Lepisosteus oculatus: one gene and its partners. The protein of the gene in region 3 interacts with the protein of the main gene of each other region in a pairwise test. Links are inferred from orthologs where the notes say so. Each region holds a gene or a part of one and is shown on either strand. Other genes may lie near its edges.

What was found.
Region 1: the proteins of tacc1 (region 3) and htt interact in binary tests that used the Homo sapiens proteins (3 or more experiments, as listed by UniProt). The link is inferred for Lepisosteus oculatus from reciprocal best matches to the Homo sapiens genes TACC1 and HTT.
Region 2: the proteins of tacc1 (region 3) and lsm7 interact in binary tests that used the Homo sapiens proteins (3 or more experiments, as listed by UniProt). The link is inferred for Lepisosteus oculatus from reciprocal best matches to the Homo sapiens genes TACC1 and LSM7.
Region 4: the proteins of tacc1 (region 3) and snrpg interact in binary tests that used the Homo sapiens proteins (3 or more experiments, as listed by UniProt). The link is inferred for Lepisosteus oculatus from reciprocal best matches to the Homo sapiens genes TACC1 and SNRPG.

What each region holds. Positions count from the first base shown.
Region 1 is NC_090696.1:40,626,017-40,633,616, reverse strand, and holds the start of htt (huntingtin), read right to left. Parts: upstream 3,017-7,600; 5' UTR 2,714-3,016; coding exon 2,616-2,713; intron 1-2,615.
Region 2 is NC_090724.1:6,313,228-6,320,318, reverse strand, and holds lsm7 (U6 snRNA-associated Sm-like protein LSm7), read right to left. Parts: upstream 3,017-7,091; 5' UTR 2,864-3,016; coding exon 2,858-2,863; intron 2,116-2,857; coding exon 2,025-2,115; intron 1,834-2,024; coding exon 1,762-1,833; intron 1,220-1,761; coding exon 1,077-1,219; 3' UTR 394-1,076; downstream 1-393. Other genes in the region: sppl2 (signal peptide peptidase-like 2), read left to right, coding at 3,335-3,382, 5,252-5,368, 6,617-6,799. UniProt on the Homo sapiens protein: Plays a role in pre-mRNA splicing as component of the U4/U6-U5 tri-snRNP complex that is involved in spliceosome assembly, and as component of the precatalytic spliceosome (spliceosome B complex).
Region 3 is NC_090697.1:71,491,984-71,499,776, reverse strand, and holds the start of tacc1 (transforming acidic coiled-coil-containing protein 1), read left to right. Parts: upstream 1-4,784; 5' UTR 4,785-5,250; coding exon 5,251-5,411; intron 5,412-7,793. UniProt on the Homo sapiens protein: Involved in transcription regulation induced by nuclear receptors, including in T3 thyroid hormone and all-trans retinoic acid pathways. Might promote the nuclear localization of the receptors.
Region 4 is NC_090697.1:65,205,379-65,213,139, reverse strand, and holds the start of snrpg (small nuclear ribonucleoprotein G), read right to left. Parts: upstream 3,017-7,761; 5' UTR 2,898-3,016; coding exon 2,866-2,897; intron 1,486-2,865; coding exon 1,463-1,485; intron 1-1,462. Other genes in the region: protein FAM136A, read right to left, coding at 5,316-5,504, 6,294-6,434, 7,218-7,337, 7,470-7,535. UniProt on the Homo sapiens protein: Plays a role in pre-mRNA splicing as a core component of the spliceosomal U1, U2, U4 and U5 small nuclear ribonucleoproteins (snRNPs), the building blocks of the spliceosome.

The DNA.
Region 1 (7,600 bases), on a different chromosome or scaffold from region 3:
ACGGTGTGTTCTTTCGGTTCCACACAAGCCTCCTCTGTGGACTGACCAAGATATAGTTGACTCCTGGACATTTCCTCCCATCTCGACCACAGAGCTCAGCAACTCTGAAAAGGTTACTGTTGGCCTCGTGGTTAACTCTGTTCTTCCTTGTTCCTCCGACTGGAAGGAACAGTGTCTGGGGGCCTTCCACCTCACCAGGCTCAGAGATATTAGGGTATCTGAAATGTTTTCATTTATTTTATATTACTGTATGTATTTTAATTTTTCATCTGTTCTGATGTCTGTTTTTGCTTGTCTTGGGATGGGCTGCTGTAACACTTCCTTTTCCCTTTGGGATCAATAAAGTCTTATCTATCTCACTACCTGATCGAGGGGCCTTACCGAGTTATATTTATTCATATCATACCATTAGACAATGGCCACTCAACTAATTGTTTGTCTCATTAAAGTAATTTTGTGCACCTAGATTAACTGAGATTTGCCACGGCAATGGTTTTGAATGTTTATGCAGTCATTACTATTCCTGTTTTTCTTTCATATTATCCATTAACTCTTTCTTCTTCTTTGCTTTGAAGGCGGGGCGTGGGTTGTATATTAAACAAATATTAATTGCTACTAAAGTCACTGCAAGCTTTAAAGCAAGAAAATGTGAAAACTGTGCAAGGGTCTCAATACTTTTGGAAGGCACTGGAATAGCCTCTATAAAACAACATACTTAGGTATCTGAAAAAAGGAACAGCCTATAAATTATATTAGCTGTTTTCTACATACTAAAAGGTAACAACACAGAGTTTTACCTGTACAGTATATGCTTTGTGGCACTGAGTATCACAAAGCAAAACGCAACTCAAAGAAATTACTAGCAAACTGAGCTCTGTGATCTATGTACTGAATTGTCAGTCACTATCTTTAAGAACTCGATTGTATAATGTCACAAAGCATTCCACATCCCATGCATTCCTTCAATATACTATTCAACGACTAAGTTGAAGTTGTGTGAATACTTTGCACCTTCACAAAAAGCCTTGCATTGCTACACTACTGTAGTAGTGGATTGTTGCACTGTATATGTACAACACTACATTCTTAGTTATCTAGGGGTCAGTAGCAACCTGTTCAATGAGAATGACATCTCCGAGATGGATGATTACACAGATTTAATAAAGTAGTCACAAGACCTTTCATTGTTTAGTGTTTCCAGTACGGTGAAGAAGGATAACATATTCCAATCCCGTGAAATCACAGACTACTGATGCAACATCTATATTGTTAAAGTTAAATTCCGGACATGGAGTGTTATCTGTGTGGGTGGCACAATGGCAGAGTGGTTAGCATTGCTGCCTCGCAGTACTGGGGCCCTGGGTTCAAAACTGGGGGTCTATCTGCACAGAGTTCATATGTTCTCCCCTGGTTCATCTGGGTTTCCTCTGGGTACTCATGTTTCCAACCACAGTAGGTTAATTGGCATCTGGGAAAATTGGCCCTGGTGTGAGTGTCAGTATGTCTGCATGTCTGTCCTGTGATGGACTGGCATCCTGTCCAGAATATACCCCACCTTGTGCACCTTGCTGAGATAGGCTCCAGCTCCCCCTCAACCCTGAATTGGATGAAGCAGTTAGAAAATGGAGGAATGAGAATTAATTTTATGTAGGTTACATGTGTAAGAGCTAGGGGTGAGTGGTAGAGTTGTTTTGCACCGTGTACAATCACTTATTTAAGAGATTTTATCTATACAGGACATCATTGATACAGCAGAGTTTCTGAGGCTGAGACACTCGTAACTGGTTTCAAAAGTGATATAGACCTGGCAGAGCATGCTACAGGTAAACTTAAAAACTGTAACTGTATCATGTCTTGCACCGATGTTACAGAAACAGTAGCTTTCATACACTGCACAAACCAAAATAGGACCGTATAGTGCTGCATATACAACATGAGCGGAATTTAAAAACTATGGAAATATTCACTGACAGAATGTATTTTTAAGAAGTATTGCACAGCAGATAATGTTTTCAAAGTGCCATCTATCCTAAATCTTGAATTAACAGACGTTTTTTTTATCTTTTAACTATTATGACTAACATATATCAATACAACTGTGTCATTGCAATACTGTGTTTTGAAATTCGCAGCTCCTGTACCTGTTTGTGCTTATCACCGACACCTACGCCACACCACAAACTGCCCGACTTTCATTATCTAGCCACCCCTGCCCCGAAAACTACATACTGTATATAAAAAAAATCGATTTTCAAACAGATCTTTGTACAAGAAAACTCTAAGTTAACTTGATTCCCTGGGATCTGCACCAGGAGCAACCAGAGGTACGACTGCGTTCGCTGTTTACGATGTAGTAGGGAGTTTGGCTAATCTTTCCGTGTATTTACAAACCAACAACGAAAGAGCTTTCCAAGGCAGATGAGTTTGTGTGCATTTATTATTGATGCACCTACAGCGATCGGGTACGCAACCGCCGCAAACACCACCCGTAGGGACAACTCCAAGTAATTTACGATGACTTGATCTCGACTGTTCAATCACTGCTACGCTGCCCACCAACCCAGGGCACCGCCATTCAGTGCCCGGTCTCGTCACCTCGCTTGCTCTGTACTTACTGTTTCTGAACTAGCTCTTCGGCCGATGGTGGTCCCTGTTGTTGCTGGAATGACTTGAGAGACTCGAAGGCCTTCATCAGTTTCTCCATGGTGGCCATTTTAACAGGAATAATATTTACAAATAACACAAACAGCGGGGCAACGCAAAGACGTTAAGGAAGGGAACGGCCTACGCGCTTCATGCGTGTTAAATCCAGCCACGGGTTTGGGCTCCGCGACACCCCACCTGTCACGGGGATTTCGTTACGGTTTTTAAAAATCTATCATTTAAATGAATGGGACTTAGTTGCTGTTATATCCAATTTTGTTAGCCATCTTTGATGCATCCCATCAGCCTCCCTCCTAGCAAGGAAGTATATTCCCTGACAGCTTGAGGGGGAGCCGCGCTGTGAGTGGCTGATCGGGAGCCGCTTGTGTTTGATTGAGAGGACGGGAGAGCAATAACACGACCGGGGCTGTCTTCATCTCGGCAAGAGGGCGGCGTGGGTTTACTTACCAAAGCGGCTCAGAGGCTGAATGTACCACGAAGTTTTCTTGCTGGGAGGCTGCCTTCTGATTGGTCACCGTATTATTTTTATTGAACAGCAAAATAAATCCCTCTTTTTACCCAAAAAAACATGACCTTAAGGCCACAGGTTTCTGATCTGATGTTGATGGTAATTAGTTTGAAGATTGGTAATCAGTAAAGTGTGGAGATGAGCTTCCTGTCCTGTCAAGAGAAATTTCTCTTTTGTCCTATCATACAAATGTTGTGGTACGTGTACTGAAAACCACAAAAGCAGAGCTTCGACTCTCGTGTGTAGTACTCTGGATCCATGATCTGGATATTTCGATGAATTTGTGATAGTGGTGGCTAGCTAGTGAAATAATGGCATGTTGCATCACATATCTGGGATGTCCCTGTGGACGGTAAAGTAAGTAGCAGGGACTTTCAAATGCATTTGGGGGAAAACGGCACAATACAGCAAATGTCAGTGGTCAGTTGATATATCAATTAATATGTTTAATAGGAACATTTTTTATACAGGGTAGTGCTGTGGTTAGCATTGCCTCCTCACAGCTCTGGGGCCCTGGGTTCAATTCCAGACCTGGGGTGCTATCTGTGTGGAGTTTATATGTTCTCCCCATGTTCATGCAGGTTTTCTCTGGGTGCTCCCATAATTCCAAAGACATTCTATTAGATCAATTGGATTTTGGGAAAACTGGTCCTAAGTGTAGGGGTGTTTGTGTCTGCCCTGCAATGGACTGGTATCCCATCCAGGGTGAATCATGCCTCACACCTTTTGCTTGGTGGGACAGGCTCTGGCTCCCCTGTGACCCTGAATTGGGTAAAGCAGTTACAAAATGGATGGAAAACCACAGGAAGGGTCTAACTACTTGTGCAAGGCACTGTACACTTCTTTTCAAATTACCTAGCAGATCTGGTAAAAAAATGTATCTGTATGATTATCTGTTCAGGGAAATCATATTTATTAGCCAGGGCTTTGAATAGCATCCCGTACTCCAGTGGTTTGGTATAATTTTCCAAATGCATGCTTCAGGTTTTTTTAAAAAAAACCTGTTTGATTGCAGTATTTGTAGGTGACATTCTTTCCACAGAGGGAACGTCCTTTAAGTCTTTTTACACACCTAAAGAGCCTGCAGCCAAGAAAAGAACCCAGACCTCGTCTATTCCTACCCCTGTTGGATGGGACTCAAAAATAAGACAGTAATATAGTCCAGGTGAACTTTAACACAACAAGCCTTTATTATTAACAAATGCATTTATTTACATTTATGAAAACATAATATGCTATAGAACGATTGACGAGCATTTACACTCAGTCCTTCCAACACAGATTTCAGTTCTTTGCTAGGGGTGCAAATGTGTATAGCGCACAGCCCCCTATGGTCTTGACATTATAAAATGATCCAACACATTTTAAATTGATAATGTATTCAAATTTGAATGCTTAGACAGAAAAGTTCTAATGGTAAATTATGTTGCAGTAAATAACAGATTTTTTTTTGCATTAGCATTATAGTATTAAAGCAGTATTCTTTTATCTAGGTCATAAACAGCATGAGTGGTTTGTGATGAAAGGTCCACAATTGCCTGGTGAAGAGAATCATATGGTGGTATGTGGGTAACCTCAGTTCAAGGATGCATGAATTCAATATTTGGTAGAAACTATTGGCAGCAATTACAGCTATTCTTGGCTACCTTTTGACAGCAAGTACAACTGCAGTTCTTTTTGGGTTAGCCCCCACCAACTGTGCTTACTGACATTCTGAACTGGCCACTCAATTCCATTAACGTTCTTATTCCTAAGACTTTGGCCCTGCATTCTGGGTCATTCTCCTGCTGAAAGGCTAATGTTCCTCCCAGTTTTAGGTCTTTATGAGATTGAAACAGGTTTTCTTCTGTTTTGGTCCATTCATTTTCCATTAGTCTTCTCAGTTCCTTATGAGAAGCAGGCCCATAACATAATACTGTCACCACCATGCTTGACGCAGGGAATGGTGTTGACTGTGTATTGCAGTTGGGTTTGCATTATATGCACTGCTTTGCAATTGTCCTGTATATTTGTAGTGTCCCTTAGGTGCATTGTTGGAAATCCCATGTGAGATTGGAGATGTAAATTAAAAGATCCATACAAAGCCCCTTTGTGGACTGGCTGGGATATTGTTGACCCATGGACATTTTCTCTGATCTAAGCTCTTTCAAAATCACTGTTGGCCTCACTCTGGAATCCATAACTATTTTTTTCCTTTTCCAGTTTGGAGGTACAGCCTGATCTAGGCAGTGTCTGGGTGCCTCCTACTTCTTAATGATCAACTTCACGATCCTCAAAGAGATATTAAGGGTCTTTGATATGTTTTTATACCTATCTCCCAATCTTTTACTTTACACACATTTATTCCTGAGTTCTTTAGAAAAATACTCGGTTTTATGATCCATTCACTACCTGACCAAGGAACCTTACAGAGACAGGTCTATTATTTGAAAATCATGTGAACTGCTTTTATTACATACACACTGAGACTACTAAACTAATTCTGTGTCTTGTTAAGGTAATTAACTTAGGTTTGCCACAGCTAGTGTTGGGATATTTCTGCAATCATAACTTTACCATTTTTCTTTCATTTATCTGTTTTTTTCCTTTTTTTGCTTTAGTGTTTGGAGCAGATTGTATAAGAGACAAGAATTTCTACTTGAAAGTGTCATGATTGTAAGCTTTAAATCCAACTGTGTAAACTGAGCAAGGGTCTGAATACATTTGCAAGGCACAAGGTCTATCATTGTATAATGGCAGCCAAGCCGAATGTATAGAAGGGGTGAGAGGCAACCCTTTCCCCTCTTTAAATATGTAATATTTATAAGTAATTTTAACAAGAGATGTTTCCGTTTTCAGCACTGTCAAAAATATATATTTTACTAGCCCTTTCACCAGTACATGACACCAGGATAGTTCATACTTTTTTAAAACCACCAAAGACAATTCACACACTACCTTATTTTTCTCAGCTAAATCTGAAATTCAGCTGTTTATTTTTGGGCAGCTTTAATCACTTTATGGCCCTGCGATGGACTGCCTTCCCATCCAGGGTGTGTCCTCCCTTGTGTCTGTTGCTCACCAGTAGACTCTGGCTCCACCATGACCCTCAGTTGTTAGAAACGTGTTAGAAAATGGATGGATTAATCTCTTTATGCTCACTTAGGGAGAGCTGCCTATATATATATTGATAAAACACCTTGTAAAAAATAAGAATCTTTACTTGTTGCTGGATCCAAACATTTTTTTTTTTCCTTTTGTGTTGTAATAGTGTTTTTTAGAGATTTTTTTTTTTGGTTAAAAGAATTGTACATTACATTTACAGGAGAAAAGATCATTTTTGTAAAGCTAATGATAAAAGCTGGACTCACAAAAAGGGTTAGCAGTGTGCCTATGAGGTGATTTCATTTTTACCACAAAACTGCATCTTCCTTCAGCTTTGTCATACAGTGAATTGGTCATGTTTGTGATATTCCCACTCTGCTGCACAGCAAGATACACATTTTACTCCACAAAACAGAATAACTAATGTACAATTTCGAAACTAGAAATTATTTTTTTCTAAACTGATGGTTATGTAACCATCATGGGTTACAAGCCATCCCTTGTGTGAAACGTTAAATTCAAGAACAGTTCTCCAAGTAGTCAATCATGTTAATTACTGGGAAGCAAAATGAGCAAATTTAAAGCTTGAGTCTATCATAGCATTACAGCAAATAAAATTCAATTGGCTGAAGCACCCACTGAAATAGCTTTGTTTAAATAAAGCACAGGGAAGCTATTTTGTACAAACGGCAGTGTTTTATTTCATAATTACAAATGTCAGATATGGTACAACAACCAGTGATAGAACTTGTACAAGAAATACACTTACTGCAGTGGTTGAAAGACAAGACTGTACAACTACAAAATCGGTCACCTTGCATTAATAAAGGCGGCATCCAATATTTCTGATATGTTGGCACTGTAATATAATTTACAAACAAGAAACCTGAAGATTACTACCGATACATGCTTGATTAGTAAAACATTTTAAAACAGGCATTAAAATGCACTTTGTGCAGACATTCAAACTGTTAAAAGTATTTCCTTACCAGCAAAATTCTGGGAAACTGAATACGGTTAGATTAGTCCCTCTGATAAAGGTTTTTTTTTTAGAAAAAAGGTTTGATAATTGGTACATGGTTAAAGGCCAAAGTCTGTCTTAAATGTCCCATTTAAAATAGTGGAATGAGCCATCACAGACTCTCCTTCAATTCTTGGTTTGACGTTATTGGTAACATCTGCAACACTTCTATTTTGATGCCCTGTTACAAAAGCCCACAATGCAACAAAACTATCATTTGATTCCTGCTGTTCTTTGGGGGAGCCCAAACGTTTCTACATAACCCTTACTTTGACACTGGGTTTCTCAATGATTAAGAATGGATGCTTTTAGCAGCTTACCAC
Region 2 (7,091 bases), on a different chromosome or scaffold from region 3:
ACAGCCCTGTTTCATCTTAGAGCATTAAAATAAACTTAAACGGCTAAAAAACATCAAACCAAGCACACTCCGGTGTATCGATTAAAAAAAGAGAATGTGTTTTTAAAGTCTGTACAATGTACATCTTAAAGTTTTCAAATCAGAAAATCAATTAACCCCACAGGCTGTTGTCAACATATCCCAAGTACAGACAACACAAGTGAAATCTCTCCGAATAACTGTTCACCACACTGAAAATAACAAAAACAAAAGTAAGTGCATTCAGAAGAGTGGCGTTTCTCTCTGCACTTATGAACCAAATAAAAATAAGCATGTAAACTAGTTGGTTTATTTACATTTATCTGCGACACCCTCCTTTCCCCATCTCCATCCATCGCCATGCAGGCTCCAATTTCATTTGTAAATTAAAAAAAGGAAAACTGAAGATTGCCATAGGAGTCACCGAAGAGCAACATTTGAAACATTATTCAGCAGTCACAGAAAAGCATGATTCTGTCATCTGATCACACATTCCCCTCTTCACCGTGTCTTCTAGTGCACAAAGCCTTAACACAAGGTTTCAGAGAAGCTCAGACCTGGGCTTCCAAATCTCAATCTTGGTGACCCGTCTCCAATAGTTTCTTCTCCGGTTTTCTACTTAAACCCTTAAATGGACTACATTTGCTAATTTTAAGTTGCCAAGATGTTCCAATTAGAAGTTAAGAAAATGTAATTAGCATTAGATCTCCAGTGTCATAATTATGCACAAATGCTCTATAATCCATCTAATAACTAGCCTAGATAAGGGATCCATTAAGAAGCAGCAAGCCCAAATTGATGAAATGTCAGAAGACACTGGACACACCAGCACTAGGATTGGGAATCCCTGGTACAGAGAGATGACATTTTATCAGAGGGAGATAGACGAGATCAGGAAAAGACCGGGGGTAACCACCACCTGCAGGGTGTTTAAGAGACTGCATGGAAACTTGCAAGCTTTAACTACTTCTCCTGAGGCCACAACAATGATGTCGCTTTGGGGGTACAGAAAGGTTTGTGCACAGGTATTGGAGAGGAAAGGGGAGCAGGGTACCCCTCTAGCCGTCCTGCTGCTGGATGAAAGGATTGGGAATGGCCTCCATGCCGTCTTGGGGGCAAATGAGGACCACAGATGTTCCCCGGCACACCACCAATCCCAGCTGCCTGGTGTCCTCCGTCAGCTTGTACTGATCATCGGGGTCTGCAGACGACACGGAACAAAGGAGGGGTAAGGGCAGACTGAGCCTCGCCAGCACAAGTCATGCACAGTGTCTGCCTGGGCATAAGCCATCGTACCCAGGCAGTTGACCAGATGGAACTCCCTCTGTAGGGATTTATAGCACAGCATTCTGCTGCCTCTGAGACTGCCAGCCTGTAGGTCTGTACAAAACCCATATGCCTCAAAACTTGAATAACAACAACAAATAACAAAATAACAAAAATAATAATCCCTTACACTTATATAGCGATTTTCTGGACACTCCAATCAAAGCACTTTACAGGTAATCGGGATCCCCTCCACCACCCCCAGTGTGCAGCCCCACCTGGATAATGCAATGGCAGCCAGAGTGCGCCAGTCCGCTCCCCACACACCAGCTCTCAGTGGGGAGGAGAACAGAGTGATGAAGCCAGTTCAGAGATGGGGCTTATTAGGAGGCTGTGACTGGTAAAGACCAAAGCTAAGAGCTGCAGGGGGTTTTGGACCTTAATTTAAGAACTATGCCTTCAGGCACTGGCACCTACCTCTCATGTACTCTATAGTGCCGTCCAATACCAGGTTCAAGAGCGGATCGAACCCTTTCAGGATGCCACTGGCTGCCAGAGAGAAAAGCAAAAGGCTCCGTGAGTCGTTCTGCAGTCGATCCACTCGACAAAGGAGAGCCGAGAGGAGACGACCAGCAGGTCCACCTGCTCATTCACTACCTAGAAGAGCACTGCAGAGTTTGGGAGGAACTCTTGCATGAAGAAGAAAGGCCCACACAAACACACAGTTTCCTATAACATACCTTCTCGTCCACCCTGGAACTTCACACGGATGGTCTTGTCGATGTACTTTGACAAATCAAATATGCTCTCCTTCTTCTTCTTCTCTTTATCCTGAAACCATTAACGTTTTTAACAGGTGGGGTTAAAAAGGGACAGTTCAGGGCTACTTTGGGGAGACAATACACACATTTCGGACCAACCACTGCTCATCGTGTATTTTAAACGGAACAGTACAAGTCTTTTTAACTGTATCGTTCTTCGTTATTCCCGGAACAGCGGCCCACGAAGTAATAACGGCTAATCAAGACATTCACCGTGCTTTATTTACGATATGGACAATTTTTCTCTAAATAAAATCATTATTTTGGAGGCCTGGTTACTGCTCTCTGACTAATAAACGAATTCAACTCATGCAACGCCAAACACAGGTTTTCCTGCAGGTGAAAACATGCTCTGTATACCTCCAGAAAAATATGTACAGGCGCAGGGATCTAGCTCGCCAGCGTTTCAGTTAACTTTGCTAAACAGTCGGACATCCAAGGGCTTAAGACTCGGAAAGCTAGGAATAAAATCGTTTTTTCTGTTGTCTACAATAACTTTACATTAAAAAAACGTTTGAAAAGAAACATTTTGTTAGTACCAGTCAAACGAAGCCGGTAAAATTAAAATGGTTCTTTTACACAATGGAATTCTAATGTTTAAAATGCCTAACTTTCTATACCCCTCACCATTAAAAGAGACAAACAAAAACTAGATTTAATAATTTACAGTTTCAGTGGAAATTAGAGACTATACCGAACAAATAACCATATATTACACAAATCATACACGAAAACCATTCACCGATACTCACCGCCATCTTTCAATTGGGTGAGCTCCTCCCTTCGACCTTTAAACTTTGACCTCTTTGATTGGGGGAAACTCCATGTTTCAGGAACTATTCTTTACATAATGTTTCCTAACAAACGTACACCTGTACACGTAAACACTAAAATAGTAACGTAAGAAATATCCCTTTAACTAAATAAGCTTCAGTTTTTGAAACAAGGCATGGAATTCACTACCATAGAGTCCTTGCGGTAAATTGTGGACTCGTCCCGAGGAAGTGGTACGTTTGATTGACAGGGATAGTAGCAAATTACGTTTTTTATGCGGGAGCTTCTTTTTGATTGATGGAACTATTGACCAATAGTGTTGCGGACCGAGAGTAAGCATAACAGAAATGACCCAATGAAGTCGCGCTGCGGTATGGCGAGGGCGGGAGCTTCCAAAACAGCTGATGGTGGACTGGGCTTATGACGGGGATAAACCATAATAACAGCCAGACATCATGAGGGACCTGAGTGCTCTGATTTTCGGAGCTATATTGGTAAAACAGGTGAGATACTGAATATCTCCTATTCGCTGTAGTACATATTGCATTAAGCAGGGCTTTCGAGCGTTAACGATTTTAAGTAAATAGCTGAAATCCGACCTAAGGGGGCGATATTCTGGTTGGTAGCTATTATAATTAATGGGCCCATGTAATGAGTCTTCTGATGGATAAGCGAGTGTAAAAAAGCGATGCTTCACTTCTTATAATTATTATTTTTACATTCAGCTCCTCAATGTATATACTTCCTTTGTACAGAACCTAGAATTCCTCGATGTAATACGTTTTTGGGTTCCTTCTCCTATAAACTAACATCTACAACAGTTACCTCTGCTGCTGTTGATAGATGTGGATCAGCTGGACCTGAGCTGAGCACTGTTCCGGGGGAAAAAAAGAAGATTTTTCTTTACTGCGCGTTAGATCCAGATGAAGACGAGGGTAAACATGTTAAAACCCCCTACAAGAACGTTTAATTCACAAAACAGCGGCCAATATGCAGTCTGCAGTTCAATTCCAGTGGTTACCGGCTCCTTTTTTTTCCTTGTTAGAAAGAAACCGTCCGCATTTTGATTGTAACCTTGTGGTTAACCGAACTGAAAATGGCTGTTAAAAAAAACAAAATTAACATCAATATGTAGCGAACATGCTATTAGCGTTGTCCTAGAAAAGGAACCAAGAAAAGTGACCATTTTAATGTTTATAAAGAAATCGCGATGGGAGGCGCACTGACCTGTGAATTCATTCAAAGCGCCGAAACCTGGAAATTTAAAACGATGGACTATTTAGTTTTTCAGCTATCCCATGAGACGTTGGTATTAGAGACTTTATTGCTGGGCGAATTATTTTTTTTAAGTACATGAGTTGGTCGTCTGAGACTAAACATCGCCAGAGTATCGCCCAGAACACTGATTCAATAGGATACAGTACCCAGAACAGTAATCCTCATTACCGAAGAGCTGTGGGACAGACCAAAAAAAAATAGACAAAATCCTCAAAATCACTGACAGAGTCAAAGTAACGTCCTTCTTCAGAAGAGGATACAAAGAGAAACTACAGGACAGTGCATTTAAAACTGTGACCAGGGGGACTCCTCTTTACACAAAGGCTTGTGGGGAGGCAAGCTGGCACCCTTGTTGCTGAAGAGGTACCCTGAATTAGCAACACCTGGGAGAGGGTCTTTGAATAAGTTAGCCATTAACAACCAAATTCAGATGAACCGAATGGCGTCCACTCACTTGTCATACGGGGTAATAACTGTGAGCAGTAGTGTGAGTGTTTTGTTGTTGCTTAACATGAATACTCTTTTCCATGTAGGTAATGGGAAAAGGCATCTATCCACACTGTTTCAGTAGGGATCCCCGCAGTCACCCACAGCCCCAGGATGACTGAGACCCATCAATTTTCTAACTGCTTTATCCAGTACAGGGACGCTGGGGAGCTGGAACCTATCCCAGCAAGCAACAGGCACCAGGCAGGATACACCCTGCACAGGATGCTAGTCTATGACAGGGCAGACAGACACACACACACACTCACACACACTCACAACGGGGCCAGATTTCCCAGAAGACAGTTAACCCACCATGTCAGTGGACTGTAAGAAGAAACTGGAGCACCTGGAGGAAACCCACGCAAACGTGGGAAGAGCATGCAAACTCCACACAGACGGCACCCGAGATCTGGCATTGAACCCCAGCAATAATAACCACTGCATCACTCTACCTTCCTAAAACGGGGCTGCTGTGCTTAGTTCTCTTGGTGCCTTCTGAACAGTTACTGCCATGGCACCTAGGGAGGGGAGAGTCAAGTAAAAGGCCCAGAAGTATTCAAATATGCATTGGGAAACGCACCTGATTACGAGTGTTGTTGCCACAGGTGCTGGGGGAGTATGGCATGGCGCACGTCAGTGAGAGAGGGAAGAGTAAAGGGAAGGACTACTGCATCCTGTTCAACTCCCAGTGGGCACACCTACCTCAGGATCTCAACAAGGCGGTGAGTAGAGTCCAGGAATTCTGCAGCCGCCCAGCCTGCGGCCCCCCTGTCGCGACCCTGCTCTCCGTGCAGACCGTATTGCAGCTGCTCCTCGAAGGGGCGGGGCGCAGAGGTGAGGTTTTCCTCACGGGCACCAGGGGTTGACCCCCAGGGCCACACGTGTTGAATCAGCCCAGTCAGACCGCCTCTGCATGGAAACAAACCACAACAAACGTCGGGGAATGTGCAAGCTCCACTCGGACAGAATGGCACACACTTCCTTCAGTGTTAAGCTCGTTTGCATGCCTGTGATTGTTTCAAGTGGTTCAATGCTGGTAAACACATATCGTCTTACAACTAATAGGTAGGCAGACACTTTGCTGCAAATAAATGACCCCCGCCTCTGGGAAGCTTTATAGTTTCTTTGTCTTTGGGCAACATGGGTGGAATTACACAGGCACCTTTGAACTGCGTGCAGGGTGTGCAAGCAGGCAGTGGTTCGAACTCACCCTTGTGAAATGCCGATCAGTGCTCTGATGGAGTCCGAGCTGACTGACCTGAGAAAGGTGCACAGCCCTGCTAGCAAGGGAGTTCTGTCTCTCATGGATTCTGTGCAATTTCTAGCCCCGGCCAGACTGCAGTGATGCTAACGAGTCCCAGCCAAATCCTTTTTTTTGGGAATTATTAATTTTAATGAAAAGGTAAAATGGCACAAGAGCCGTGTCTCAGGTTCAGACCCTGTCAGGGGCTGCTTTTGCCTGGTGAAAAGGTACCAGACTGTGCAGCAGCAGTATCCCTGAAGGCTTTGGGGTAGAGACTGCTCTCCCAGTAACATGAGGATCCCATCTGTCGTGTGAGCGTGAGAGCATGTCTGTGGACGCTACCTGTCTCGGCGGCTCACACTGCCCTGCCCCAGTGCAGGGACTGTGTCTACAGCCTAAAAAAACAGGAACTCTAGTTTAATAGCACTGCTGGGCCCAGGTGTCTCTGAACTGTTTGTTTTGCCCTGTTTAAACAAGTGCTACAATTCCAGCTTCCAGGGCAGAATGCTAAGAGAACAAAAAGTGTTTTTTCAGTGGGGCCACACCCATCCAGCTGAGTGCAAGACTTTACTGAGCTCCGTAAAGGATCACCTCATGTGTGAGCGTAAGACAAGCATTTTCAAAAGAAAAAAATCCTTGCTGTTGTGTGTCTCTTGAAGTTGGTCTTCTGGGCAAATATAAAGGAGTCTTCTTTCCCACTTTCTTCTGTCGCTCTCAAACTCTTCAGTCCCGGCTCCAGATCCATGACCTGACTGCTTCTGTGCTGTGCTCCCCGTCAGAGGTGCCCGCAGGTGGGTTCCCCAACCGCATTCCCATGGTGCTTAGGGGGAACTGCACTTTCTATGAGAAGGTCAGGCTGGCTCAGATCAACGGGGCCAAGGGGCTGCTCATCGTCAGCAAAGACAGGCTGGTGAGTGGCCAGCTGGGCACTGATTATCCCTCTCTTCCTGTCCATCCACCCGTTTTCCAACCGCTTTGTCCAATACAGGGTCACAGGGGAGCTGGAGCCTATCCTGACAAACAGTTGGCACAAAGCAGGATACACCCCAGACAAGATTCCAGTCCATCACAGGGCACAAACAGACACACACACTCACACCAGGGCTAATTTTCTGAGGATCTACTAGTAGTTCTTTTGGACTTTGGAAGGAAATCAAAGCACACTCTTATTAGCTGGTAAATAATTCATTTGCATTTATATA
Region 3 (7,793 bases):
CTAGAAACAACAATACAGATCACCATTAAAGCTTATTTATACCATATTAAAATGTAGTGCACATAACAATCTATCTTGCGACTGCTGCTGTCCTTTTCATTTTTAAAACCTAGCGTTTTGCAGCTCTGTACACTCCATTAAATGAAGCTCACTCATGTGTAGAGAATGAAAGGGCTTGGCCTCTCACTCTCTGTCCTCCTGTTCCTTCCCTTATTATTATTCCATAAATCCATGAGACACTGATCCATTTTTATGAGATCAGTTAACTTTAATCACAGCTCAAGGACGGGGGCCTCCTGAGAATAAAAAGCTCTGTGTCCCTTGCTTTTGAAAGGTTATCGCTTCCCTCTCACCTAAATATTAATGCCCGTTTTGCCTGAAGCGCTCCTATTGAGACACTTGAAATTCCTGGAATTCCTATGGTGCAACCTTAGTACAACCTTTTTGCTAGCAAAGAAAAACAAAAAGGCATCTTGCACTATGATAAAGCTTTGTTGACTGGCTAACTGGGATTATGTAATTCCTAGGAATATGTGTCTCATTTGAAACACATTCAGAAATGTGGTCGGACACTCTTCTGAAAAAAGTACAGCAGAGTCTGAATAAGTCACATTATTGTTAATCCAAATACTGTAAAACACTGTAAAACACAATAATAATGTTTTAATAATGTAAAGACATTTCAACCACTCTTTTCATTTGAGAATATCAGGTAAATACAATTAAAAAGTTTTTTTTTCTTATTTTGTTTTCATTGTTATTGTTATTAATAATAAAGTTGGTAGATATCTCTTTACTGATTTGGTGGTTCACAGTTTGAGCTTTGAATGTGCAGTTCAAATATCTAACTAATGTATAAAGAACACCAGCCCTAAAAAATAAATTCAATGGTATTAGAAATGGGCTAACAAAGTTGCTTTCATCTGAACGTAATGAAAAGTAAACTAAGGAATTTTTTACTCTTCTTGTTTTTTAATACGGAATGGTGGTTTTAAGCATCCAGTGCTAAACAATCAGGGATCAAAGCAGCCATTTGAAGTTTAATGAGCTGAAAGTAATTTTGCTTTCAGGTGGTGTGTATTTGCTTGTAAATAGCTTGTCTTTGTGTCTGAGCAGCAGATTTAGTCCTGAGAAAGCTTCAGCCAGGTACTATGAGTCATTAAATACTGCTTTGATCACTTGAGAATGCATTTTGAGATGGAGCACTGACTTGAGAAGGTTTAATTGTGCCAAAAAACACAGATGGATGCAAAGTAAATAAAGCTCTCATGATAAAATTCAGAATATGATATTTTGTTTTAGAAAAAAAGTGAAAATGTAGGGGAAAATACAGAAACAAAGACATTTAATTGAGTGTCTTTAAAGGTTTTTATAGTATGTTGTTTTTTTTACTAATTTGGTATCTTGCATTGGGGAATTTCTTTCTGGTTGTTTGAAATGTGACACCTCCCCTTGTGTACTTGAACCAACATACTCCACTTGTCAAGAGAAGCACACATGTGTGACATTGGTATGCTGGATCTGCACCTTAGGTGGACTTGCCTGTAGGCGAGCCAAGGTATCTTTAAAAACGAGTCAATGTTTTGTGCAGACAAACCTAATGGACACCAGTGACAACAGTGTGCAGAACAATACACTCATTCATGTGTGCAGCAGTGCAATTGAGGTTAAACAGTTTCAGTTCTTACTATTTCAGGTACAGTATTTTTCTTACTTTTTTTGCTTGTTAGCAGAATGTAATGTCTGAGGCTTTGGCTATATAAATATGATAATGATTAATACTGTGGGTGACTCCTCTGGACCACAATATCCACACCAATATCCACCCATTACTGTGACAGGGGTGCTGTCAGATGTAAGATGAGATGTTCTTTGGATGAGACATTAAACTGAGGCCTTGACTGTTAGTTTCTTTCTCATAAGAGTAGGGGTGTTATCTCAGTGGCTAATTCCACGCTGAGCTTGTACAATCTGGCCTTCCTAAAATTCTTCTTTTATTCACTCAATGAAGTATTTTTGTACTTTTCCACCGGATCCGATGTGTTGTGGGACTCTTAGTACAGACCAACAAGTCACATCACTCAGATGGGAGCTGCACTTCATTGGTGAAGTACTTTGAGATCATTTGGGATGAAAAGTGCTATACAAGTGCATGCAATTATTAATAATTATTAATATAAGTATTAATTGAAGCAGGTATAATTCCAGCAAAACTAAAAATATCTGTTTTGCCTATTTTCAAATGGGCTGACAAGTTGTACATGAAATGTTGTAGATCAGTATCCATTTTGACTTGGCTTACTAAGATCATGGGAAATAAAACAAGCAGACTTTTTTCTGTAGAAATAATTCGGGCTGCTCCCTTAGTAATGATAATAAACATTTACCATTATATAAGAAAGGTTAGAATACGATTTCTAAAAGATTTATAAAAATCTAGACATTAGACTAGACATCTAGAAGTCTAGAAATAAATTAGACAAAAAAACAAAAAATAGACAAAACTCATACAGTATAACGTAATTACAAGCTAAAGTCAGATCTAGACTTAGATTCCTTTTTAAATCAAATTGTGATTTACACATTCTCCTGTGTATACAAGAGTTCAGATAAACTTACTCTCCATCTCGGGCTATGTTGATGTAGTTTAAATAATGGCTTAGTTGTTCTTGGGACACCTTGATGTATTAGCCATTCTGCCATAAGATTTGTCACTGCTGCCCCCTATTGTACTCATCAAGGTGTTAATTACACTTTGATCTGCAGGCCCTCACTACAAAATAGATCAATGCTTAGCTGTTTCAAATTAATGTACTGATCTTTAATTAGAAGAACAACATCATGGTTGAATTATCTGCAATTCTCTATCCCATCTTACAGTTTAAGATTTGATATCAAATTTTATTAATTGAACCTCCCAAGAGAATCTCCTAACTCTGGGTGCAAGTCATTTCAATTTGCCGCTGCATTGGACTGGAACTATCAGTAGAGTGATCTGAAACTATCTACCTTTGTATCCGACATTAGTTATAAATGTTTGCAATGTAAGTGTTTTTTAATTGTTATTGCTCTGACAACATTGTAATTCATTGGTCATGCCGATAAAGCTCATTGAATTTGAATTAGTTAGATCCAGACTCTCATCTGCCTGATGGTGAATTGAAGTGTGAGAGAAATGCACCTTGATGCCACAGCTATAAAGACACTGCAGATCTCATTTCTTAAGTATGTGGTAATCTATTCATTGAATTCAGTGTCCATCAGCAATACATGATTATCCCATATCCTGCAGTAGAAGTGTTTAAATGCAGATTGAGATTGGTTAGCCCAGAATGATTGACATCTTCCACAGTGGTGTAAAAAGCAAGGCAGTTCAATGGAGTATTTTTTACAGGACTTTAATTACAGGGGATAAGGCATCTGACAACAATGACTGTGATTCCCAGGGATTAGGGAGAAGGGCATTACAGTGTGTGTTTGAAGTTAATTATGACCTTTTGGTAGACATATATTATTACCCCAGTTCTATGTCTCAGCAGCTGATGGGTTGGTACTTGACTTCATTTCCATCACCTGTAGAAAATAGTATTATGTGTATTATTGTGAGTTTGATTATGAGCTACTAAAGTAGTTTTTCAGAGTAGTTGTGCATTGATGTATTATATCAAATCATACTTTGGAGTTTTTCTTGCACTGTATAGGTAACAACATTGGAAATAACAAGTTTAACTATTCAGATGAATTCCTATTCAATCATGACAAAATATTTCTTACAAAATGCCCTTTTTGGAATATTAGAATATTCCTTTTCTCTACTATAGCTATGCAGCTATGTTAGTGACAATATGGAAACTGTATTTCAAATGTGATATACAGTATGTGATACTGTATGTTCTGCTATGTACTATATGAACTCTAGAATGGTTTTTTTCATTGAAACCTTTGTTTTCCATGTGAAATGTAAGGGATGGGTGTGTCTATAACTCAGTTTATTCACGCAGATATGGCTTTTGATGTCATCGCACTGCATTTGTAGATGACTACAAGTACAATGTACATGTTTAAAAGGATGAATTATTTTAGCATTAATGCAGATGAGAATTCTGCCTCACTTGTTGGGACACCTACAGTGCGTGACTCATCCTGTTTTACATATTCTTAATGCCCATGAATGATCTGTATGCAAATAAGTTGTAATACAGACGGTGATTGCGGCTAACAGTAAGCTGTAAAACTAGACTGGATCATGTCAGATAAGTATGATTGTGTGTGCATGTGTTAGGGTGTGTACAGAATGTGATGGCTAACTTTGTGTTCCCTGCCATCCCTACCTTCGTTTGGAGTGGGTCTCTATTACTTGGAAAGCCAGCAGAACCAGGGCTGCCTGGGTTGAGTGGGAAACTCACTGGGTTTCTAATGAAAACATCATGACTTAACCTTGGAGCCTGTGATTCACTGTAAAAGCAGCTCCACTTCAGCAGCATGACAACCCAGCTTGTTTGGCATTCCAGTCAGCAAGTCTCCTGTTTGAAATTGTAAGGTTTGCCGAGCCTCAGCTTCTCTGTTTTTTTAAGAAAAAAAAAACTTGCTTCCAGTCTTGGTGAGAGTGACATCACTTCTCTCCTCCTCCAGCGCTGGCTTCAGCCAATCCCCAGCAGAAGGATGCCTGGCTTGTGTGCCGATTACACCGGCTGGCCTTTTGAAAGAAGAAACTTTCCACTCCCCCCTGTTCTTTGACAATAGCACGGCCCTGAAAAAAGAACTGTGGAGGGGGGGGGGGGGTTGGAGGCGGGCAGTTAGAGGCAGGCAGTCTGTGGGCTGGAGAACGTGTGCACTATCTGGCAGCCAGCTGATCTTTGCTTTGGCATTCAGTGCTCAGAGGTAGAGTGAGAGGGAGTGAGGAGGCTGTGAGCTCTCAGAGAGTGCTTTCAGCTGAGTGAAAGGGGATTACAAAACTGAGGAGAGAGAGAAGGGAAAAAAAACAAACAGGGGAGGGCTGCTCTAGCCTAGTTAGAGGAAAAGAGAAGCATTGGTGATGAGAGTACAAGCTGCTGGGAATGCCTTTAGAGGAAGTGAAGGCAGAGGCAGTCGTTGAGGGACTTGTGATGTTTTAACCACATCCGTGCTTTAGTCAGAAAGCGAGAGAGAGAAAAAGAACACATTTGCTGTCAGATCCTGTGCGAGTTTGCCCCCCTCCATCTTGCGGAGTTCACAGTAGCAGCACCCAAAGAAGAGGAAGAACAAGGGACGATGTCTTTCAGTCCGTGGCAGATGCTGTCGCCTGTGCAGTGGGCAAAGTGGACCTGGTCTGCAGTTCGAGGAGGGGAGGGAGAAGGGGGGGAGGGGGCCGAGGACGACCCTGGAGATGATGAAGACTTTTCTCAGGAGGAAGAGAAATCCCAGGGCTGCAGGCGAGTTGTCTTTCCCTCCCCCTGTTCATCTTTTTAGCAGGTTTGGTGTGGCTTGCCTGTGTCCTGCATGGGAATTTGTGTGTGTTTATCTGGTAGGAGGAGAGATGCTTTTCATTCCACCTGTGAGATAGGGCCCAAGGGATTATTGTAATTTTCCTAGATTTGGTATGCTACAGACTCACTGACAGGTGACCTGACAGGTAGACAGGTGTAATTGCAGCTCTGTATGATGGCGGAGAAAGATTTTTCCAGTGAACATGGGCACACTACCCTGTAAATAATTTGTACTGTATATGTCAAACCTGCAGCTTCCTCTGATTTGTGTCTTTTTGTATGCATGTCAGCTTCTGACTTGTGACTGTTAAATGTACATTGTCCTGAAGCCTGTCTGTTAAAATGGGATTAGGAATGTATCTGCTCCTTACTCCATCCCTACATTGTCATTCTTGGTCAATAGTTGGTTTATCTGCCCTTGAAAACTGCAATCAGGGTTACCTCCTTTAGAATGTGTGGGAAGACAGGGGCAGTGAACACATCTGTAGGCATTTCCTAAACAAACTGTAAAGGAGGGAAAAGGCTGAGACAACCATGTTATTTTGCCTCTCCTGTGTATTCTAAGTCTTTAGCTAACACAAATGGGAAGGAAGAAGCTTTTTTTTAAAGACAGGGTTATTTTTTTAGCATGTCCTAGTTTCCAAGTAGCTATCCAAGACGAAAGACTAAAGCTATCCAACACTGCTTTCCAAAATTGTCGCAAAGCTCTTGCTTGGGCTCATTTATATTGTGTGCTCCTTAAGGATTTACTGACAGACTTACGGACAAGAGATATGTGCAAGAGGTACTGTGTGAGAATGACACCTGAAGTGGGGTTGTCATCTGCTGTTTGTTGCTGGTTGTCTTTTTTTACGGTGATGAAATAAAATGTAAGACATAAATGGTCAGTGTCGGGGGGAGGGGGGGGATCCTGACACATGCATGCTTCCCCTTTTCTAAAAACCCACAGCTAGGAAATTAATTTACAAAAACTAAAGCCAGACCGATTTGGCAGTCCTGCTCTCCCACAGGAACGAGGATGCTATTGGACAGACATGAGGCAGGAACTGGAGAAATATATTTAACCTTGGGCACAGAAAAGTTGAAGGCGACTATTTAACAGATCAGCCCAGAGAAATAAACCATAGTAGTTTAGAAGGGAAGTGGCTGAGGAAAGAAGATTTCCAGGTCTTTTTCCACAAATTGGGACTTTGTGACCCCAAAACTTCTTTTAACTGGAGATGGTGTTCATTTATTTATACAAAAGGGGACGCATTTGATAGAGAGTCCTATTTAAGTGTTTTTTATATTCCACCTCTATGAATTCTGAATAAATCTGCAATAATCGTAAAATTCAATTATCTTCAATAAGGCTCTTTTCTGGAAGAAATAAATTTTATAATTAAGATGTAAACAAGGGAAAGATTTAATTAAATTTATTTCTGGTATGCAAATAGTTTTGGGTTGACTTTGGATCCAGAGCAATATCTTCTGATCTTTTAGAAATCATCAATGGCCTGAATTTTAATACTATACTATAATAATTATTGCTTTTCCTTCTAATGTCAAACTTACAGTACCTTTCACATGGGATTCCTATAGCCTTGCCAAAGACAGAGAGTTGTTTTGTAAATCAGCTGCTAATGAAACACATTTCCTTTTCTAATCATATCAAAGTATATGCACTAAAAAGCATGTGCTATAACAAATCTGCCTACTGAAATATGCTCTTGTGTCCAATTTGGGTTTTGAGTTATTAAAATGTTTTTAAAAAAATAACATAATACCACGCCTGCAATTTTTGTGAAATTTCCCAAGACTTGTATATACTTCAGTCAAAAGCAGTACATTGTTGCAGGGCTGATGACTCTGTTTATTTGAATTCTCTTACCTTGAACAAACATGGCACCTCTGTGTCCTTTTCTTGACATCCTTTGTTTTGTCATTGGCCTAAAGGCTTCCCTGAAAAGTCTAGTCTGCCAAAGTCTAAATGACAGGTGGCTCACATAACAACAGCAGGAAATTCTTGTAGGGCTAACATTCTTATTTGTCAGATTTCCTGAAGCCAAATCAGTAGCCTCCTTACCCTTCAGGCCTGCATCGGAACATTTAGAGACCTATAATAAAATTAGAGAAAAATGCAGCTGCTGGGTTTTTCTGATGCAAACAGAATAAAGTGCCAAAGTCAGATTTTTCTTCTCCATGTGAAACTTGGCTCACAGATGAGCATCTGTAAATTAAAGGTAACTATTGAGAGCTAAATGAAAATTACATACAAAAGCGTATCTGTGCTTTCATATCTGTATTATTGGTGTTTTCTTCATGCAGAAACACATTTTTTCCCTCTTT
Region 4 (7,761 bases), about 6.3 Mb from region 3:
CTGATTCGGCTCTTAGATCAGGGGAGTCAACTCGCCCCCTGCAGGGCCAGTGTCTTCTGGTTCGTGTTCTTCCACCCACAGCTGTCTGAATCCTCCAATATTAAACTGCAGGGTGGAAACACCTCTAACCAGCCTCTGAGGTCATTCGAACGTAACCCTACCTTTGTGAAAGGTACGAGTGAACAATACTAAAAGGCAGTTAGAAAATTCTTAGGAATGTCCAGGAAAATAATGAACTTGTTTAATTGACTATTCAGATTGGAACAGAAACCAGAAGAGACTAAGCCCTCCAGGAATGGAGTTCGACACCCCTATTTTACATGTTTAACACGGGGCTATCCAATCTCAGTCCTGGAGAACTATGGGTTTTCAATCTGACTTGGACTGTAAACGTTTAATAGGAGGTCCTGATCCTGAGGGGTGTCTGCTGGTATTACAGGTCTTTTTAAAGCACCACCAAAAACTGGTTGCAACAGCTGTATAATTGCTCCAATTCAACCATTAATGAGCCATTTAGGATCACTAAGAGCCCAGGCAGACTGAAAACCCTCAAAGACACCAGCACCCCTGGACTCCTGGTTTAATAGAACTAGTTACTGGCTTAATCAATGTTAATGCAGCCTGCTGAATCTCAATTGAAGAGGTCTTTAAGTGGTGAAGAGCCACTGATTTATACATACCTATTTAAAATAAAAATACCTGCTGTTAACAAAAAACACAATTTTTTTGTATATATTTCAAGAATGATGATTAGTTCTTTTATAAATATTAAAGCATATGGTTTAATTTAAATGGTTTTAGCTTTCATAAATTCCAAGATAATTTTTGGATGTGAAACATTATGGCAGCAAAGGACACATTTTCCTCTAGGTCTATACTTGTGCACATCTGTAATCCCCATCATGGACGATGGTGATATTAGCAGTGCATGCAAAAACATCTTAGGAGAGGATGTTTTTAACCATTTTTCTCAATCTATCACTGGTACTCATCTTTGCAACCCTTAGCTTTTCATTAGCCCTCTCTGCATGCTAGATGTTTCACTGTTGTTAGTTAATAGTCAGAGCTTTTACTGGAAAAAGTCCTTCCTATCTCACCTTAGTGCAGTTTTGGGTCATCATAAAATGTAAGATGTGGATAATAAAAATGGGAACAATTTAAAGTCACTAATAGTGACCATGTGCAGCCTGTATGCATAGCATAGAGTCACTGGCACTGCCCAGAACTCTGCAGGAGGACTGAAGCACCACCCTTCCATGTGAAAGTCATACAACTAACACCTGGGTAATGGATCAATTCACTATTGGAACTGAGGACTGATGGCTGTAATCTTTTACAATGGCATCACACATGCACTTGTCAGTCGAGAACATGGTGAGGGACAGTTCATCAGACCATATCAAGTTTCTCCTGGGAGGGGTCCAAACACCTCAGTTCAGCAACTGAAACCCTACATACTCACATGACAACTTCTTGTCCATGAACCTGGACAAAAAGGAAAAAAAAAGTTGTTAGATTCAATACAAAAAAAAATGTTCTACAAAGTCTGTACATCATTCGACCTGTGGCATGTTATAGAAAACATGCTGGATTTATCATGTAAACCAACATGTGAAAAATGTTAGCTTATGCAGGAAACATAAGCTAACATTATTGACATATTTTCAAGACTTGTTTAATATAGACTGACCTGCTATCATTCCCTACTCTGACCGTATTTATAACGTTTGGGAGCATCCGTAAGTAAAAGTAACTGATATTCTGTGGAATTTAGCATTTGCTCATGTGTATGTGATTGTTGGTCATACATTCTGAAAGTAATGTCACAAATAATGGTTTAATTGTACACTTCTCAAGCTGTATTGTTTTAAATATTTTCCCTCCCAAGAAACAACACTACTGGACGTGTTTGCCTGTATTTAACAAAGCATTATCGCTTAAACCTCCACAAACCTTTAAAGGCATCGCTTCCAGATTCTGTTTTGGATTAAGCAAAGCAATGAACCTTAAAGGCGATCTTAAGAGGCTCAATAATATTTAAAAAAGATCACGTTTAGCTAGCTGCTATACATCTGTTATTCAGTGACCTATATAGCGTCCCCAACCTATGCAATGAAAATGTAAACAGGCTTTTCCACGCTCTCCTGCAATCTACAGCTTGGCGCGAGTTTTCATCTACCACCATAGAGTACTAAAGGTGCAAAACCGGAAGTCCGTCCATGATTTCTGCAACTGACAATTGTAGCTTGTTTAATATTACGTTTTAAAACCTTAAAACCAATTAAACCCATTACATTATTATTATTATTTTAGAGTTACTTTCTACGAGTCTCGCGCAAGTCAATCAGTTTTCGTGGGACTTTCTCGGTGCGCATAATCGTGGTTTGCAGAGGTAGCTTTCGTCACAGGTCGATCTTTCTAAAGCAAAAGTATACAAGCTTATACATTCACGACCTATCAGGATCGTTAACGCGGCATTTTTAATATTACGGGGTAAACAATCTAATCTCACGTTACAAACGCTTTAGAAAATACACAGTACCGAAAGCTGTGATGTATAACGCTGTGTGGACACTATTTTCGAAGCCAAACGTTACGATAACGTTTGCACTCGGTTCACGAAGCGAGGTCGGAAACGTATTAACAATTCTTTATGAGAAATATTAACGTCGTCTCCACGGTTGGAAACAGATCCAAATATCACGGAACTACAGGAGCCCTTCAGAATATTTTATCTAGTTTTAATGGCGAAACATTTCAAGTTTGTATCTCAGCCAAGTACAACCCCCCCCAAGATCCAACAACTACCGTGATAAAAACGAAAGACACAAATGACCCTACGAGACTAAAACAAGAAATACTTACTTCTTCAACTCGGGGGGGTGTGCTTTGCTCATGTTTACGTGTAGAAAGCTATAGTTTTATATCCGTTCAATAACAAGACCACTGCGCTCTCAGCGACTTCACCGCCAAACTCCACGCACGCTGCACCACAAAGGACGAACGCGTTACCATAAAAAAAGTCCGACCATACCTTCCGGCTCACATTATGCGTCATCAACAATCGCCCGAACACTGCCACTACTCCAACGCCGTTTAATTGAATATTCCCTTTCCATTTGCGCCTCCTCTCGGCAACCCAAGTTCACGCGCATTCTCTCCTGAAACTGGAAATACTATCCTGCAAACGAGCAAGAACACGATGGGTGCATTGATTGTAAAGATTTTCTTGACCGATAAATACCTGTTCATGCCGAACAGGCAACAAGCCTAATGAATAATTGGGCAGGCAATACTGCTATAAAAATCATATTATTTAAAAAGAGCTTTCCTAAAGACAGCAAGTGCCGCGCTGTAGCTTAACCGGTGGTCCAGTTAGGGCAAACTGTAGCAAGAGGTAGCAAATCTAGGTGCGGATGTAACAGAGTTCTCCAGATAGCACACTCTCACTGAAAGCTCAATAGAAGTGATTGATTATTGATTTCATAGAGATTGGAAAACCAGAAAGCATAATGAAAATAAAGAGAGTAGAAGTTACTGGCTAGCAATTTTTTGGCAGAACAAAGAAGGATGTTTATATGCTGCCCATAATTCTAAATATATTAACCAAGAATGAATGTTTGTACATCAGATCTTTAGGAAGGGTCAAAGGGCATGGGCAAGGACATTTTGTGAAAACTTCACTCTTTCAGGAGATATACCAGTTTGGCATATGAACTTTAGAAGAGGTCAGAGGTCACAGACAAGGATGTGTCTGAAAGCACATACTGTATGTGGGATTCCATAATAACTATGACACCTTCTAAAGACCTTTCAAACCTCACATTAACTAGGCTCTGTCAATTATTGTGCATAATGTTTTATGCAAAGTAGATTAATTGCTAATATTTTGGTATGTATAGAACTTGTTAATGAAGGTAGTTGTTAAATAAGTAATTACAGCACTGCATGGAAGATCTGAATTTCACACTGCAGCATACCAACACAAACCAGCACTCATACGCGTCTTCATTCCTCGCTGGCCAGCGGAGATTGGCCATTCTCTGGGCTTGGACAAGGGATCTCTGTGAAGGTGCTGGTGGTAAACAGCTCAACCATCTAGCAGTGAATGGATCTCAACTTCATTTAGTGACCTCCCCTTAAATGCAGACAACTAAATCCAGTGGTGTGGTGGGGCTTTAATAAACACAAGTAGAACACTGAACCCTTATCAGCAAGCTTCTCACTTGACCCTCTCCGATGGGGTTGTTCTAGAAATTATATGAATTTAACACTCTGCATAGAGAAATTCCACACATTCCTCTAGGGTTACAGTTATTAAACAACTAGTTACATATCTAGACACACAGCTGAAGAAGGATCCACAGATGAAACATTACTTTTTGTTACTGTTAAAAGTGGAACTATCCACTACTCATTCCTTATGGACACTCAAAGGGATTATATACTTTTAATGCTAACATGCATCGAACACACTCATGTGACACTGGCTTTCTGGTCTCGACCCCACCATGCCAATAGCTCTGAGCTCAGCTCATAGGGCTCAAATTGCAGTGACTTGTGTTCAGAGAGACTGTGAGGGTGGAAATAATAATCTTCACTCAGCAGCCACACGGTTCTGGTCACACCCTCCCAAATACAGACAAACAGGCACAATCCAAGCCTGAAGACAGACACACCGTCTCTCTTTTTAAGAGAATACAGAGAAAACTGATTTTATTCCCGATTTTGATTTGTTGCAATACAAAAAGGGAAACAGTGCTGTCAGCAGCAAATTCCACAGTGTGTAAAACTGAAGCCACAATTGCACCCCCTGCAGGAGGAGGTAGAGAGTTGTGCAGAAACTTGGCTCTAGTGGTTCACAGCTGCTCATGGTTTTCTCCTGACAAACGAAGAACACAGAGGTACCAATAAGATCCATTTCAAGTTTTACCATACTCCTTCTCTCCTTTCTACTTTAATTCCAGTCTGCAAAACATAGACAGACATGAATATACGAGAAAATGAAAACTGTCTAGATTTCATTTTCTATGTTTACTAGAGACGGCAGGTGGTAAAACCCGGACTGGATCAAACTGCTATGCACGGGGAGTCCCAAGTTTCATCCGCTTGTCTTCACGGTCTGACACAGCCAGGGTGTCCCACTCCACCTGTCCTCGGGAGGACAGGGGTCAGTCCGCCGGGCGGTCCGCGCCCTCTGTCTGTGCCGAAGGCCCGCGCCGCCGGCCAGTCCGTGTCCCCACTCCGTGCCTGCTGGCCTCGCTGTCGGCTGCAGGCCCAGATGGCCCCCGGGCCGGCTCCCAGCGCCCCCGTCCTCACTGCTTGATGGAGGCCAGGCTGTCCTTCAGCCGGCGCGTCACGCTGGGCAGCAGGCTCAGGTGCTCGTCCACACAGCCGCCCACGCAGCGCTCCAGCTGCCCGCGCACCGCCGCCTCCTTCGCGCCCGACTCGAACGCGTCCTTGGCCTTGTCGTTGCAGTGCATGGTGCAGCGGGCCAGCCGGTCCTGAGGCGGGACAGAGAGAGACAGAGCAGCTTTCAGCAGGACAGCTCAGAGCAGGAAGGGGTTTGCAACACCTGAAATTACACTCAGAAAAATGTGACCTCTCCTCACTACTTCCTGTACCCACAATGACAGTACTCCTACACCACTACACACACGACAACTGAATGTAAACTGGAATTGTACTTAAAACTGTACAAGTTGTACTATTAATAACCGTATTATTTTTGCACTGTTCACCGTTTTACTTTTGCACTGTTTTTGTCCTGTTTGTATACTTTTCTCTGCGTATTTGCACAGTTTTTGACAATTTTGCAATGGCACCATACTGTTGTTTACACTGTTATTGTATTTCTGTCTCTTGTCTTGTCTGCTGTTCTATTTATATACTGCACCTGAGAGACTCATGAGAAACACTTTTCACCATACTATGCACCCGTGTAAGTAGAATGACAAATAAAGTTGAATTATTATTCTGTTTAACATTAGCAAATACTACATAATGCAATGAAAGCCTTTGTTTTTGCAAAGCTTATTACAGTCTGTTGCACTGTGACAAAGCTGGACTCCTCAGTGCTCTTTTCTGCATTGCTCTACCTTCTGCAGACTTCATGACATTATTATATGATTAGAGATCAATGCAAGTTTCAGTCATGTGCGGTGCTCCATTAAAGAGTTCTGTCTCTCAGTTCCCTATATATTAAAAACTCCAGGCTGTGCGGTCAAGCCCGGGCTGTAGGGGGCAGCGCTGAGCGACCTCCACACCCACGTTGCCTCCTGGGAAAGTCTCACCTGGAACCTCTCCAGCTCGGTGGTGACCAGGCTCTGCGCCTGGGCCAGGGGGGCGTGGCAGCGCTCGATGCACTGGTGCACCTGGGTCATGGAGTCGCTGGCGCGCTCGCAGCACCGCGCGCTGCACTGGAACATGAGCCCCTGGGGAGGACAGGCAGCCAGAACGCGGGGCATCAAACACCACATGAAGCCCACGAGAGAAACGGACAACGGAGGATCTTTCTCCGAGCCCCCGTTTACCGTGACAGCACCCCACACTTCACACCGCATCCGAATGAAGTCGAATGAGACACTCCTAAGCCTCCCACAGTAATAAACACAGTTTTACAGGTAGTCTCAGTCAGGAAACGCAGACACTCCCGTGGTACTACAGGTTGAACAATTCCAGCTGTTACCAGCGGTAGAATCCTGTATCAATCCTGTCAGTCAAAGCTTAGGTCCTGTGATTGTTGTTTTATTCAGTTACGCAGTCAAAAGTATTTTTGAGTTAAAAGGAATTCTCCATTTCATTTCGCAGACAGGTTTGCGTTAATATAACTTTCTGTGCGTTCGGATGGGTTACGGGATAACGTGACTAGGGAAAAAAAAGGAGAGATCGGGCAGCAGGTGTAAATGTGACTGTTCAGAAATAAACCGTTTCCCTCCAGTTCCCATCACAGAGTTTTTAATCGCCCTCACACGAACCCTTCACTAACACCATCTGGCCCTGCGAATTTCACGTCTGCAACCTTCTGTGAAATCGCTTGAAGCAGAAGCAGACCAGAATTAACATGCCTGTATAAAAAACACCATCTTGTCAATCAGGGCACGAAGCTGCGAAACCCCCAAATGTATCAAAATGTTATGCAACGAGGGTCGCGTATTCTTTACGGGGAAATGCAGACACCAGTACTGTGTCCCGCGTCCCGTCAACCAGACACTCACTTGCATTTTACGGATGTGGTCGCGCTCCAGTCCCTGAACCATCTCGTCCACGGCAGACTGCATGCGAGCCTGTTGCGCTTCGGCCATCCTGACTCTCGGGCCGATCTGGACCGAACCGGGCTTGTTACACAAAGGTACACAAGTGATACTTTATAACAGTGCAACCGATGCTGGCCAATGCAGGTGCTAACTAACAAGGGCGTTTAAAGCACAAAGCGTGACTATGTTCTCATACAGCACCTAGTCGCTTACGTGAGCTAAGATGTCTTGAGGTCCTCGCTTGTAATATCTTGCAGCGCTGCCGCTAGCATGGCACATAAGGTCACCCCGACCGGCAGCATGGATTACAAAAAGATCACTTCCGCGCCTGTACTCCAAAGAGCGTTAAAGTGCCCCTGTCTGTGTCCTGGAACCCTTGTAGAATTGTATAGCGACACCACGAGGAAGGAGGAGAGATGTACAGTTCGAACGAAGCGATGTATGGCAAATAGCCCATTAAAGACGTCAGCAGTTTTAATTGGGGAAAAAATAATGTAAACTTTTG